Linked DNA regions of Drosophila melanogaster. The protein of the gene in region 2 interacts with the protein of the main gene of each other region in a pairwise test. Each region holds a gene or a part of one and is shown on either strand. Other genes may lie near its edges. The genes, in order: CG8206 and Usp16-45.

Region 1 (3,898 bases), about 10 Mb from region 2:
AAATAATAAACCATATCTACATATATATCTATTTCAATATTTATTATGGCAGAGCAGCAGATTGGGATAGATCTTAATGAAGTTTCAAATGAAGTTAATTAATTTAGATGTCAAGAGATGGATGTAACAGTTGGTAGAACCACTTGGCAATAACTACAGACTCCGTGGGCTTACTATCTTCCGTCCACATGCCATCAGCGCACAAAATCCGTTGTTGTTAGCCAATTTGGGGGCATATCTCTTAGGGATTCGGCGGCCCCTTACGACGCAGAAAAGATCACTCGACAGGGGCGTGTTTTTCATACTTATATGTATTTATATATGGTATGCATTAGTGTCTAGCCCCAAAGCCGTATCTATACCTACCAATCCGGCACATTTCACCATTGCGTAGCCAGGCCGGCAGCGTGCCAATTTTTATTGTTGCGATAATTAGCACTCCGGCTGTGTTTTGATCGATCCGATCAATTAGCGAGCGGCCACCGAGCCCCTTCGGCTTCTACCGGCTTCTAGGGCTCTCCAGATAAATAAATGAGTCCACTTTTGACTGGGCACGTCTAGTATATATGCGTGTGCGTACACAGAAAAAAAAACCTGGTCAATATAAGATAGGCACGGCGTATATTGACAAAAATTGATGGCTTGTAGCCAAAACTTGATGATTGTACATATACATATGTATTTTAACATTTATATCAACAATGAGACATTTTTCTTTCTGTGCACCCTGATTAGATAGTCTACAGCGGAATAACAGATTTAGCCATATACAATGTTTGTTTTTTGCTTTTGAACTGGTCGTTCCTTTAATCACTTTTTTAGGCATTACTCACGGCCCGAAACAATCAACAATTACAGTACAATTATTATATACAGCCGTCTGAGCTCGGAAACAGAATGTGGGATTCCGGTTTGCAGTTGGGTACTTGGGTGCTTGGTTGCTTGGGTTCAATGTGCCACCCCGTGTCGAGTGTGTCCTCCTCAGACACGATTCGCAGGTTGACGGCACCAGGTTCTCACCTCTACTGATGCCCCTTTGACTAGAGTTCCTAAATCAGCTCGCCGCGCTCGTTCACCTTGATCACCCGGACGCGGGCATGCCGGTCGGCCAGCACCTGGTCGATATTCTTGCTGGTACTGATTCCAGAGCTAATGCTGCTATCGCCATCGCTGCCGGTGAACAGTCCCAGATTGTCCTTGATCAGATGGTCGACGGCACAGCCGTCGCACTGTAGGATCACCACGCCGCTGTAGTAGGCCTCTTCGCTGATGGTCTTCGTGTTGCGGGTGTTGCACAGCTTGCAGCGGTACACCAGCTCCATGCGGCGTTGCATGCGTCGGAAGCGCTTCAGTGTCGTCGGCGACAGAGAGCCATTCGCCTGGTTTCCGGACGTGGAGCCTCCCAGGTCAAACTGCTTGGCCGTGAAATGGCACGCATCGAGTATGGAGCGCGGTATGGAAAGCGGTGCTGGACGCGACGATTTTAGGTGCTGCTCGGCATCGTTGGTTAGCGGCACGGCGTCCACCGCTTGTTGCTGCTGGGTGGCGTTGAGGATCGCGTTTTGTCCATTCTGGCGCAAATAGTTGAGAGTTCGCGATGTGAAGATGTTGCGCAATGCGTTCATTTTATGTTGCTACTAAGCGGTGTTGCACATCCGCGTTGCTTTCTGCTCTTGCCGCCCGCTGCAGTGCGTCCTGAATTCTGGCGCCGCACGTGCTGAATGTGGGGTAGTTACTGCGTTTTGTTTTGCCCCAAATGGGGAAGAAAATGGTTAAGTGGAGCGATGAAAACAGCTGATGGCTATCGTTATCGGAGCAGTGCAGGCGGTTGGCCGCTTAAATTCAGTTCTCACATTTTGGCTATTTTGTATCCAGGTTCAGTAATTTGTCTCTATTGGCAGAAGTTTATGTAGTATGAGTTGAAGACTCGTTACAGCATTTCAAAAAGCAAATAACAGAATTTCAACTACCAAATTTGTAGTATAAATACCAAGCAATAATGAAAATTCATAGCTTAGAAATAACTAACGGCCGAAGAACCGAGTTCACCACTGAGTGCCTATCGGATTCGATAATCACAACAAAAGGCAATCGGAGGCCGGCTACTATATTATATAGCCACCAGATACGATTCGTTACCAAACCGATCTCAACTCCCAGAAATGGGCCACTAATTGCTGCTGGAGCATAAATCAAAAGCCATGAACTTTGCACGCCTGAGATTCGGGCAGATGGTCCTTGGAGGACTTCGAATTCCGCGCCAGCAGACGCAGACGCAGTGGATGATGGACCGCCGCCGATGGTTGGCCAGTGAAGCCACCTCATCGGCTGCGGCGCCAGCTCAAGCAGCTTCTGTACCTAGAACTCAAACGCAACCGCGGGTAAAGCCATTGCCGCTAGCCGAGGAGCGCTTGGAGTCGATACTATCGCCCATTCGCACCAGGATCATTCGAAAGAAGCGCTTGGCCATCGATGAACTGTCCGCTTTGGGGTTTCTCAACACCCGTGGTTATACGACCGCCGAGGAGTACAATCTGGAGGATCTGCAGATAGCCCTCCGCGAACAGAACCTGTACGAGACGAAGCGTTTCTTCTCCACAGACAATCTGGACGTGGAGCAGAATGTGCTCTTTGTGGCGGCCAAATATCCGACGGGTCAGCAGCCGCGGGAGATATTCTTCTTCCGCGAGGGCTCGGTGGTCTTTTGGAACTGCAGCGACATCGAGACGAACAATGTGCTAAGTTTCCTGCGCGCCTTCGAAAGGGAATCGTATGTGAGTGCCCTGGTTCACGGGGAGAGCGAGGTGATGCCCTACACCTACATTCCATCGACGGCGGTGGATGTGGAGGGCGATCTGGTGGCGGAGAGCAGCGACTTCAATGTCACGTCACGGGCATTCTTCCAGAATGGCAAGTTCTTTGTTACCGCCGATACGGATAGTTTCCTGTATAAGTACACCTTCTCCAATGCGATGGCACAGTCAATAAAGCTGGGCATGTGGGAGGCGACACTGGACCGCTACATAGACTCCATAGAGCATCTCACCGAGGATCTAAAGCGTGGTCGCCGATTAAGAATCTCGCGGGCGGCCATGCTGCGAAAAACCGGTGAATTATTTGCCCTGCGTCATGTGATCAACCTGTCGTCGGATCTGCTGGATGCACCCGATTTCTACTGGGACCGCGAGGAACTGGAGGCACTCTACCTGCAGGTGTGCTCCTACTTCAGCATCTCACGGCGCACCAAGGTGATGAACGAGAAGATCAACCACTGCGTGGAACTGGCCGAGCTGGTGTCCCACAATCTGAACGATGCCCATCATATCCGGCTCGAGTGGATGATCATAATCCTGATCATGGTAGAGGTGGGCTTCGAAGTGCTGCACTTCGTCAGCGATCACAGTGATTCGCATAAGCTAGAGGTCCTGCCACTGGCTGCTCCTGCCGCCTCGATTCCCAATTAGCAAGTAGGCTTGGTCGATAGTTTTTTGTACTATATTTGTATTTTGACGAAATATAGAATTGTTAGCGTTCCAAAAGTTTGTTTGATCTGTGCTCTATTTTTTTTTTGTCCTTTTTAATTTGTTGTTGCCCGTTAAAAACACCAAACATTACGATTTTAAAATTCTCACTAGATCCAATTTAAAAAAATGGCTAGATTAATCGACAGCACTAAAGCAGACGAAGTGTCATTTCTTTTCCTCTGTCGAAAAATGCTATAGATCTACATCGAGAATATTATAATTTTATTGTATGTGTATTTGTATTTTGCTGAAATATAGAATTATTAGCATTCCAAAAAGTTGTTTCTTGTGTTTTCATTTTGTTTTTGTTTTCCTTATTTAATTTGATGTAGACCGTTAAAACACCAAAAATAACGATTTTAAAAATCTCGATA
Region 2 (7,732 bases):
CTTTATATGTGTATACATATGTATGTATGCATAGACGCAATGTTTTCTTTGTGGGAGTGGCAGCTCCTTTTCGCCTTTGTTCTCTTTCAGGCGTAAAAAAACCGAACATTAACGGTGAAAGCTGTAACACACACAGACGCACTTATGCTCGGCATGTGTATGCGTGCGATTGTGGGTGTGTGTGTGTGTGAGTGCTGTCATTGTGTAATCGCCGAATTGAACTCCAAATTTTTTCCATAACCACTTACTGTCACTTTGCCGGAACAACAACAACAGCGGCAAGGCAGAGTCATACACTTAACAAAAAGTTGACAAAAAAAAGGTAGTTAAAACGTTGGCTATGGTACCGGGAAAGAGGTGCGAATAGAGCTCAAGACACGGACATTGGAACAAATCCACACAGAACAGAACATGACACCATTTTCCGTCACATCTCTCTGTTTTGGCAAACACACACACGCACTTTTTTTGTACTAGGTTATGTTCCGCGTGCTGCGATTTCTTACCTTTGTGAACCGCTTGGGTAACTTATTTTGCTCACTATCTTTGGGTGCTTTCAAAGCTATCTACTGCACACGCGAGTTGTGTATTGTTTTTGCTTATTTGCTGGCGATTTACTGTCGTTTTCTCAACGCTAAAGTGCTGCACGAATTAAACACGTGTCTACGTTCCACCTTTTACAAATCACAATAACATGGCCGGCGTGCGGCAGTGTTGCCATGCATCCGCAAAACTCTGGCAATCGGAGCTGCCTGCTTAATCACCCGCACTCGCGATGGCCAAATCCTCGAATTACAAGAGCCTTTGTGCACACAAAAAAAAAATATAGAAAAAATCACTTCACAGTTTGAATCGCAGCCCAATTATTTCTAGAAAGCCGAAAAACGTGTGCACGGAGTGCTGGTTATCAAATCGAATGGCAGCACATGCACAAACAGGGCTGCCCACGCTCATCGATAGGTATCGATTGGGGCAATAGGTATTTTCTTAGGCGGCGTTGCCACCGAATGTGCACAAAAGTGTTGCAAATTTCGCGATATTTCGTTACGATATTTTGTGGAGCAATACTTTTGGGCATTTGTAATTTTCCAACGTAGTTCTTGGGAAGTTCTGATTTCATTTTGTCTTACCACAATATGCTTGTTCATGCGAATTTCAGCCTATTTTTTGTCAGTATAGCGCACTATAAATCGATAATTTCGAAATAATATTTATATAGGAGCAGATAGCGACTTCAATATCTCAAAGAAAACAATCACTAAAAATCTTCTTTTTAATTTAACACAGTGATGTGTGTAATTCCAAATGATATTTTTTTAAATTTATAAAGCGGCGCAAAATAAAAAAAAGACCAAGCTAGTTAGTAGTGAATGCATACATAGATTTTTGAAATCCCTTCAATGATTTAATTACCTCCTGTTTGAGCGAAGAACATAAGCAGTGTGGATAATTAATTAAAATAATAATAATAGCAATTATTTGCAGCATAAGTTGAATGATATAAATGAATTATTTGCACATGTTTCGAGACCCTATAGTTTCTGACAACGGTTCAAATTGACCACACGCGAGATTTGCGACGAAAATAAGCAACGGTCACACTTGGTCACGTCGTTCACGTTTTCTATTTACGCATAAACGAATAAAAAGCGCCTAAAAGTGCTATAAAACATATATGTTGTGTGCTCATGTGCTACACATATCGCAGCGAGTAAATTTAAGGTAGTAGGCAGATCTTGTTGTGCATGTGTGTGGGTAATCACAGTTCTAGTTTTGTAATTTTTTATATTTCCTACACTGTAAGCTTGTTTATACATGAATATTGATGTATGTGCGTGTCTCGGCATGCAAGCAAACATGTTTAGGATTGTTTTTTGTGTGCCTTTCGGTTATTTGTCATTTTCTGACTTTGAACTTGCACATTGTTGTTGTTCCAAACTTGAATACCATTGCGGTCAGAAGAAGAGGAAGCCATCGAACAGAGAGGTGAAGCAACAGCCTAAAAATTTGAAATTGACCACACGCGGGAGTTGCGACCCAAATAAGCAACGGTCACACTTGGTCACGTCGTTCACGTTTTCTATTTACGCATATACGAATAAAAAAAAGTGCATAAAAGTGCTGTAAAACATATATGTTGTGTGCTTACGTGCAACGCATATCGCAGCGAGTAAATTCAAGGTACTACTCAGATCCTGTTGTGCATGTGTGTGGGGGTAATCACAGTTCGTGTCTATGTGTGCGTGCGTATGGGCTTGATTGGTTGGGTGCGTGTATGAGTTCGGGGTCCTTTGGATTTTCGAGAAATCATCGCAAAAAGGGTAATACATATATGTATGTATGTTTGGGTGGTCAAACAGCGGGGGCACTCAATTTCGCTGGCTGGCAGCGGGGCGACGAACTTAACCTCAAATCCTGGGTCACAGTTCCAAACGTGACGAAAGACAACAAAGCAAACAAAGCCAATAGGGTCAGTCTGTCGGTGCGAGTTCCAATCGAATTCAATCCCGTTGCCAGTTATACACATCGATAGCCGAATCGGAAGAGCAGCAGCAGGGTTGTGACTATAACGATTGCATTCGAAGCAATTCGAAGATTTGAATCTGTGATTGGAACGCTACATATTCCTTCCAGAGCGCGCCCACAAGGAGGCCAAGGCCAAGCAGCTACCTTGCCATGGTAAAGAAGCGTCAGGCGGACAGTCGCGACCACGATTGCTCAACGGATTCCGGCAATGAGGATCTGCATCATCGAAAAGGACTCGGCTCGCCCGGTCAGTCGGATGGCGCCACCCCCACCACCGCCAGCTGCCAGCACATCAAGAAGGCGGTGGACGCGGCCCGACTAAGGCGTCTACTGAAGTCCACGGGTCTACTCTACGAGTGCAGCCAATGTCAGAAGCTGGGCAAGACAGCGGGCAGCGCTGCGGGAGCGGGAGCGAGTGAAGGAGCTGTCGGTCCTGGCGGAAATCCGGTCACCTTCGAATTTGACAACACCCTGTGGCTGTGCCTCAAGTGCGGCAGCCAGCTGTGCGGGAGGGCACGCCACAAGCACGCCTTAGAACACTACCAGGTGAGCAGGGATCTAGTTCACTTAAGCCAGTTGCAAACGACATTCTCGTTTTACATTGATATTCCATATGGTAGAAGCTGTAATCGTTCTGTGTGTTCCAGACACCTCATTCGGACTCACATGCCCTGGCCATGAATACGCGCTCCTTCGACATCTGGTGCTATGAGTGCGACATGAAGATCTGCTCCAATCTGCGCAAAAACCTGCTTGAGTGCGTGGAGCTGGTCAAGAAATTGGCCCAGAAGCCGCCCACTAGCACGGTTACGCCCAGTACGCCAACGATTAGCTACATCGAGGAGAAGCTTAAAGCCGCGCTGGAGCATCTCACACCAATAGTGCCAATGACTGGCGGATCATTTGACGACTCCAGCAGTAGAGGGTCTCTGGCGGCGGCCGGTGGCGGGGGCGGGGTCGGTTCATCTCGAAATAGGCAGGTGGCCATACCGATGCCACCACCAGAGCCTAGCTCCGGACTTTCGACCTCAGACTCGCTGACCAGTGTGCCGGGTATGGCAAAGAGAATTGACCAGTACTCGGCCACCACCAATGGCAACACTGGGAACAAACGACTCCTGACCCTAGAGACGCCGCGCATCGAAAATGAACGCCTGCCCCGCGTGCGAGGATTGACCAACCTGGGCAATACATGCTTCTTTAATGCGGTGATGCAGTGCCTCGCCCAGACGCCGTTCCTACTTAGCGTACTGAAAGAACTGTCGGAGCCCGGAGAAGAGTAAGTTCCAGGCCGAAAATGTGCATGCAAAACCATTATATCTGATGTTTGATTCATTCAACAGATTCATCTTACCTGGCGGAACGTTCACCATAAAGGACAAAGGTGACATTGAGCTGCCGATGATCAAGGGTACCCTGTCCTCTTGGGGTGGACTCACGGCCGCGTTAGCCAATGCCCTTGAGGAACTGCAGGCTGGCGGTAGTGTATTTACGCCCAGAAAACTCTTCGACAGGCTGTGCGTAAAGTGTCCTCAGTTTACGGGCGGCGATCAGCATGATGCTCACGAACTGCTGCGCCAGCTACTGGAGAGCGTGCGGAACGAGGACCTAAAGCGCTACCAGCGTGTAATTCTGCAGAACCTCGGCTACAAGGATCAGGATGTAAATAGTGTGTCAGAGGAGATGCGACAAAAGTGCAAGATCTATGGCAATCAAGCAGGAGACCGAATTCTGCGCCCGGAACAGGTATTCCGTGGCTTTCTTGTGTCAACGCTCACCTGCCAGGATTGTCACAATGTTTCCTCGCGGCACGAGTACTTCCTGGACATGTCGCTGCCCGTGGCCGTAGAGAAACCTCAGCCGCCGCAGCGCCGAAAGCCAAGTCCGGAGCTCAGTCTTACGTCCAGCAGCTCTAGCGTCACCCCGAGCACTGGCCAGCCGACGATAAACACCAAGTTTACGGATGGTAGTGTCAACTTTACAGCCTCATCCCCGTCCTTCTTCCTGCACGCCCATGAGGCGGCATCCCTGGGCCCATCCAAGTCGCAGGTGAAAAAGGAGAAGGAGCGACAGCGTAAGGCGAAGCGGGCGGCCAAGAAGCGTCAGAAGTCTAGCCTTAATCTGAACGGAAATGATAGCGGAAATGGCAATGAATTGGCCGAGTCCGTAGACCAGGACGATGCCTCATTGGCTTCCCTGGGTGCCGGCGACGGCCAGGCCAATGATGGCCTCGAACAGACCAACGGCCAGACCGAGGATTCCACCACCTCCAGCGTGACTACTTCGGAGCACTCCGACGCCGATGTTGAGGACAATCTGGTGGAGGATACAGCCGCGCCGTCCACTAATAATGTGCCGAGCAGTACGGCATCCTTGACAGCTCCCTCCAAGACCTACATGGACAGCAATGGCAATGCCCAGCCGCCGGGGGAGAAGCGCGACGATACGCCGGAGCACATGGACAAGGATTCGCTCGAAGAGGACGAGAATGGTGAGTGAAAAGAGTGCCTTTATTTTTTTTTATTTAAATATAAAGATTGCATTCCCTTGCAAGTTAAGTTGCTTTGTACTTTGTACTTTGTATTTATCTGTGATCGTGATTAGGAAAAAATCCGATGATTGCCTAATACAATATACTGACTTGTCGCCTTTCATTTCGAATCGCTTGCAGACTCGGGAATCGCCACCAGTCCAGCACCAACTGCTACCAACAGCAGCACCAGTACCAGTGCCACAGGGAACAATAACTCTGTTGCCGGATCGGGGCTGTCCGGTTCATCGGGCGCTCTGGAGGATCCCTTGGCGCCAGCCAGCTTGGTCACTGCCGGACTCTCAGAGAAGGGCGCCTCGGTGATCCGCCAGGTCTCGGTGGGAGCTGAGCAGGGCGCATCCAATGGCACAGAAGACGCGGATGGCGAAGCCAAGGCAATCGAGCAGCCAGAGAAGACTCCTAGCCAAGCTCAAGCCATGGCTCAGGCCCAGGCCCGTACGAAGCGAGTGCGCACGCAAAGCTACTCGGACTGGAGCACCACGATAGCGCCGCGCTACCAGTGCGAGGATGGAGAGTGCTCCGTGCAGTCGTGCCTCAATAATTTCACCGCTGTCGAGCTGATGACGGGACAGAACAAGGTGGGATGCGATAGCTGCACGCAGCGCATTAACGGCAGTGATCCGAAGGCCAAGTCGGTGAACACCAATGCCACGAAACAGCTGCTGGTCTCCAGTCCGCCAGCGGTGCTCATACTACACCTGAAGCGTTTTCAGCTGGGACCGCGCTGCATCTTCCGCAAGCTGACGCGCCCGGTTAGCTATCCCAATCTGCTGGACATTGCCGCCTTTTGTGGGTCCAAGGTCAAGAATCTGCCGAACATCGATCGCAAGCAGAAGAAGCTGTTGTACGCGCTATATGGCGTAGTGGAGCACTCGGGCGGCATGTACGGTGGCCACTATACGGCGTACGTGAAGGTGCGTCCAAAGGTGGCGCCGGGCGACAAACGCTGGAAGTTCCTGCCGCATGGCAGCAAGGCGGAATTGGACCAGGACGATGACCAACTAAAAAAACTGGAGGAGCTGCTTGCCAAGGAGAAGGCGCGCGAGCAGCACCTGAAGGTGTTGGACGACAGCGATGACTTTAGCAACTCCAGCAGCAACTCGTCCACCTCCGACGAGAGCCAGACCCCAGCCACGCCACTGGAGGAGCAACAGACGCAGCAGGCGCAGCAGCCGCAGCAGCCGCAGCAGCTGGAGGAGGCTGCCAACGTTCGTGCGCCGCCTGGCAAATGGTATTACGTGTCCGACTCGCGTGTCCAGGAGGTCAGCGAGGATACGGCGCTGAAGGCGCAGGCCTATCTGCTTTTCTACGAACGCATATACTAGGGATTAGCTCGAGCTTTAAGCGGAACTGAGGATGCGAGGCGTATGGAAGAAAATTTTGGAATCCTATATTTGATACAGACAGAGTGCCGGAGAAAGAGAAGGCAGATACTCACACATGCCAAATGCATTTGGTTTCTCCCACTCAAAATTAATTGTACACTTTCGCTATTTTTATTATTATTATTTTTTTTTTTTGGAACAAGCTTTAGTTAGTTAAATGATGCAAAGGAGTAGACACACGCACTCATGTTAAATTGTAGTTCTCAGGAGGTTTGCTATTATGTCCTCGATTTAATTGTACTATTTTTTTAGTCATTAACAAAAAGACACTGAAGAGAAAATTATGTTTTATTAGCTGTAAGTTCTTTTGTTACCAAAATTGCCCATTATGACAGAAAGTTACTTAAACATACTCGAGTTGGGGGTTAAAAAAATGGATCGAAAGGAAAAGACAGACCGCAGAATGGATAGCTAAAAACGGATAAGCACAAATGAAATGGAGGCGGTTAACCAAGAGAGAAACTATTTGCAGATGTTCATAAGTTATAATAACGAATACAAATGAAATAAAAAAAAACCGATTGCTCGCTTCTGCCAATATATTTAACTTTGCAGTAACATAACATTATGTACACCTTAATTATATATAATATATATACACTATATTACGGGCCCATATACACATACCGCCCACGTAGATATGTATTTACAAGTTCAGCCGAAGGAGTAAATGTGTTCTTGGACCTACGTAGCGAAAGAATTGGCAACAGGAGAGATTTATACAATAGCGAAGAATAAATAATTATACACACAGTTTATCTTATGATCTAGGCTTAACTATCGTTTAATTTATGATAACTAATCAATCTATGAACTCTCTTGTATATTAAAGAGACAAAAGATTTATGAACGCCGCCGCCTGTTGTGATTTCAATAACCGAAAACGGAAGAGCTTCGTTTCGGGCAGGGGAAGATTAGGCATCATCATGGAGTAAGCCATACCGATTCCATTTAGTACGCCCCCAGCTTATCGGCCACCGGCTCTCCCACTATCTGCCTTCCATCTGACCCCATTTGATTCCATCCCATTCCGGAGTCATTTGGCCAAGGTCACGCGTCGCGTTCGCTTGATTCTATGGTGCGTCCACAGGGGCCATCGCCATCACCAGGCAGTCGCAATATGAGAGCTGCGCCATTCGGATCGTGGTACTGGCTGGGATTGGGATTGGGCCTGCTTCTGGCCATCGAGTGCGGCGTGGTTTCCGCCAAGCGTTTCCTGCGCTGTGAACTGGCCCGCAAGTTGCTCGATCAGCATGGTTTCGAACGCAGT

What was found.
Region 1: the proteins of Usp16-45 (region 2) and CG8206 interact in a two-hybrid assay, tested with the Drosophila melanogaster proteins (one large-scale study listed by BioGRID).

The regions. Positions count from the first base shown.
Region 1 is NC_004354.4:15,737,130-15,741,027, reverse strand, and holds CG8206 (uncharacterized protein), read right to left. Parts: upstream 1,799-3,898; 5' UTR 1,626-1,798; coding exon 1,050-1,625; 3' UTR 611-1,049; downstream 1-610. Other genes in the region: CG11679 (uncharacterized protein), read left to right, coding at 2,202-3,464.
Region 2 is NC_004354.4:5,419,946-5,427,677, forward strand, and holds Usp16-45 (ubiquitin specific protease 16/45), read left to right. Parts: upstream 1-1,587; 5' UTR 1,588-1,722; intron 1,723-2,022; exon of another isoform or gene 2,023-2,181; intron 2,182-2,237; exon of another isoform or gene 2,238-2,321; intron 2,322-2,446; exon of another isoform or gene 2,447-2,557; intron 2,558-2,634; 5' UTR 2,635-2,676; coding exon 2,677-3,072; intron 3,073-3,173; coding exon 3,174-3,805; intron 3,806-3,869; coding exon 3,870-5,017; intron 5,018-5,197; coding exon 5,198-6,402; 3' UTR 6,403-6,961; downstream 6,962-7,732. Other genes in the region: spoon (spoonbill), read right to left, coding at 249-293; CG16756 (uncharacterized protein), read left to right, coding at 7,583-7,732. UniProt on the Drosophila melanogaster protein: Involved in the regulation of DNA damage repair.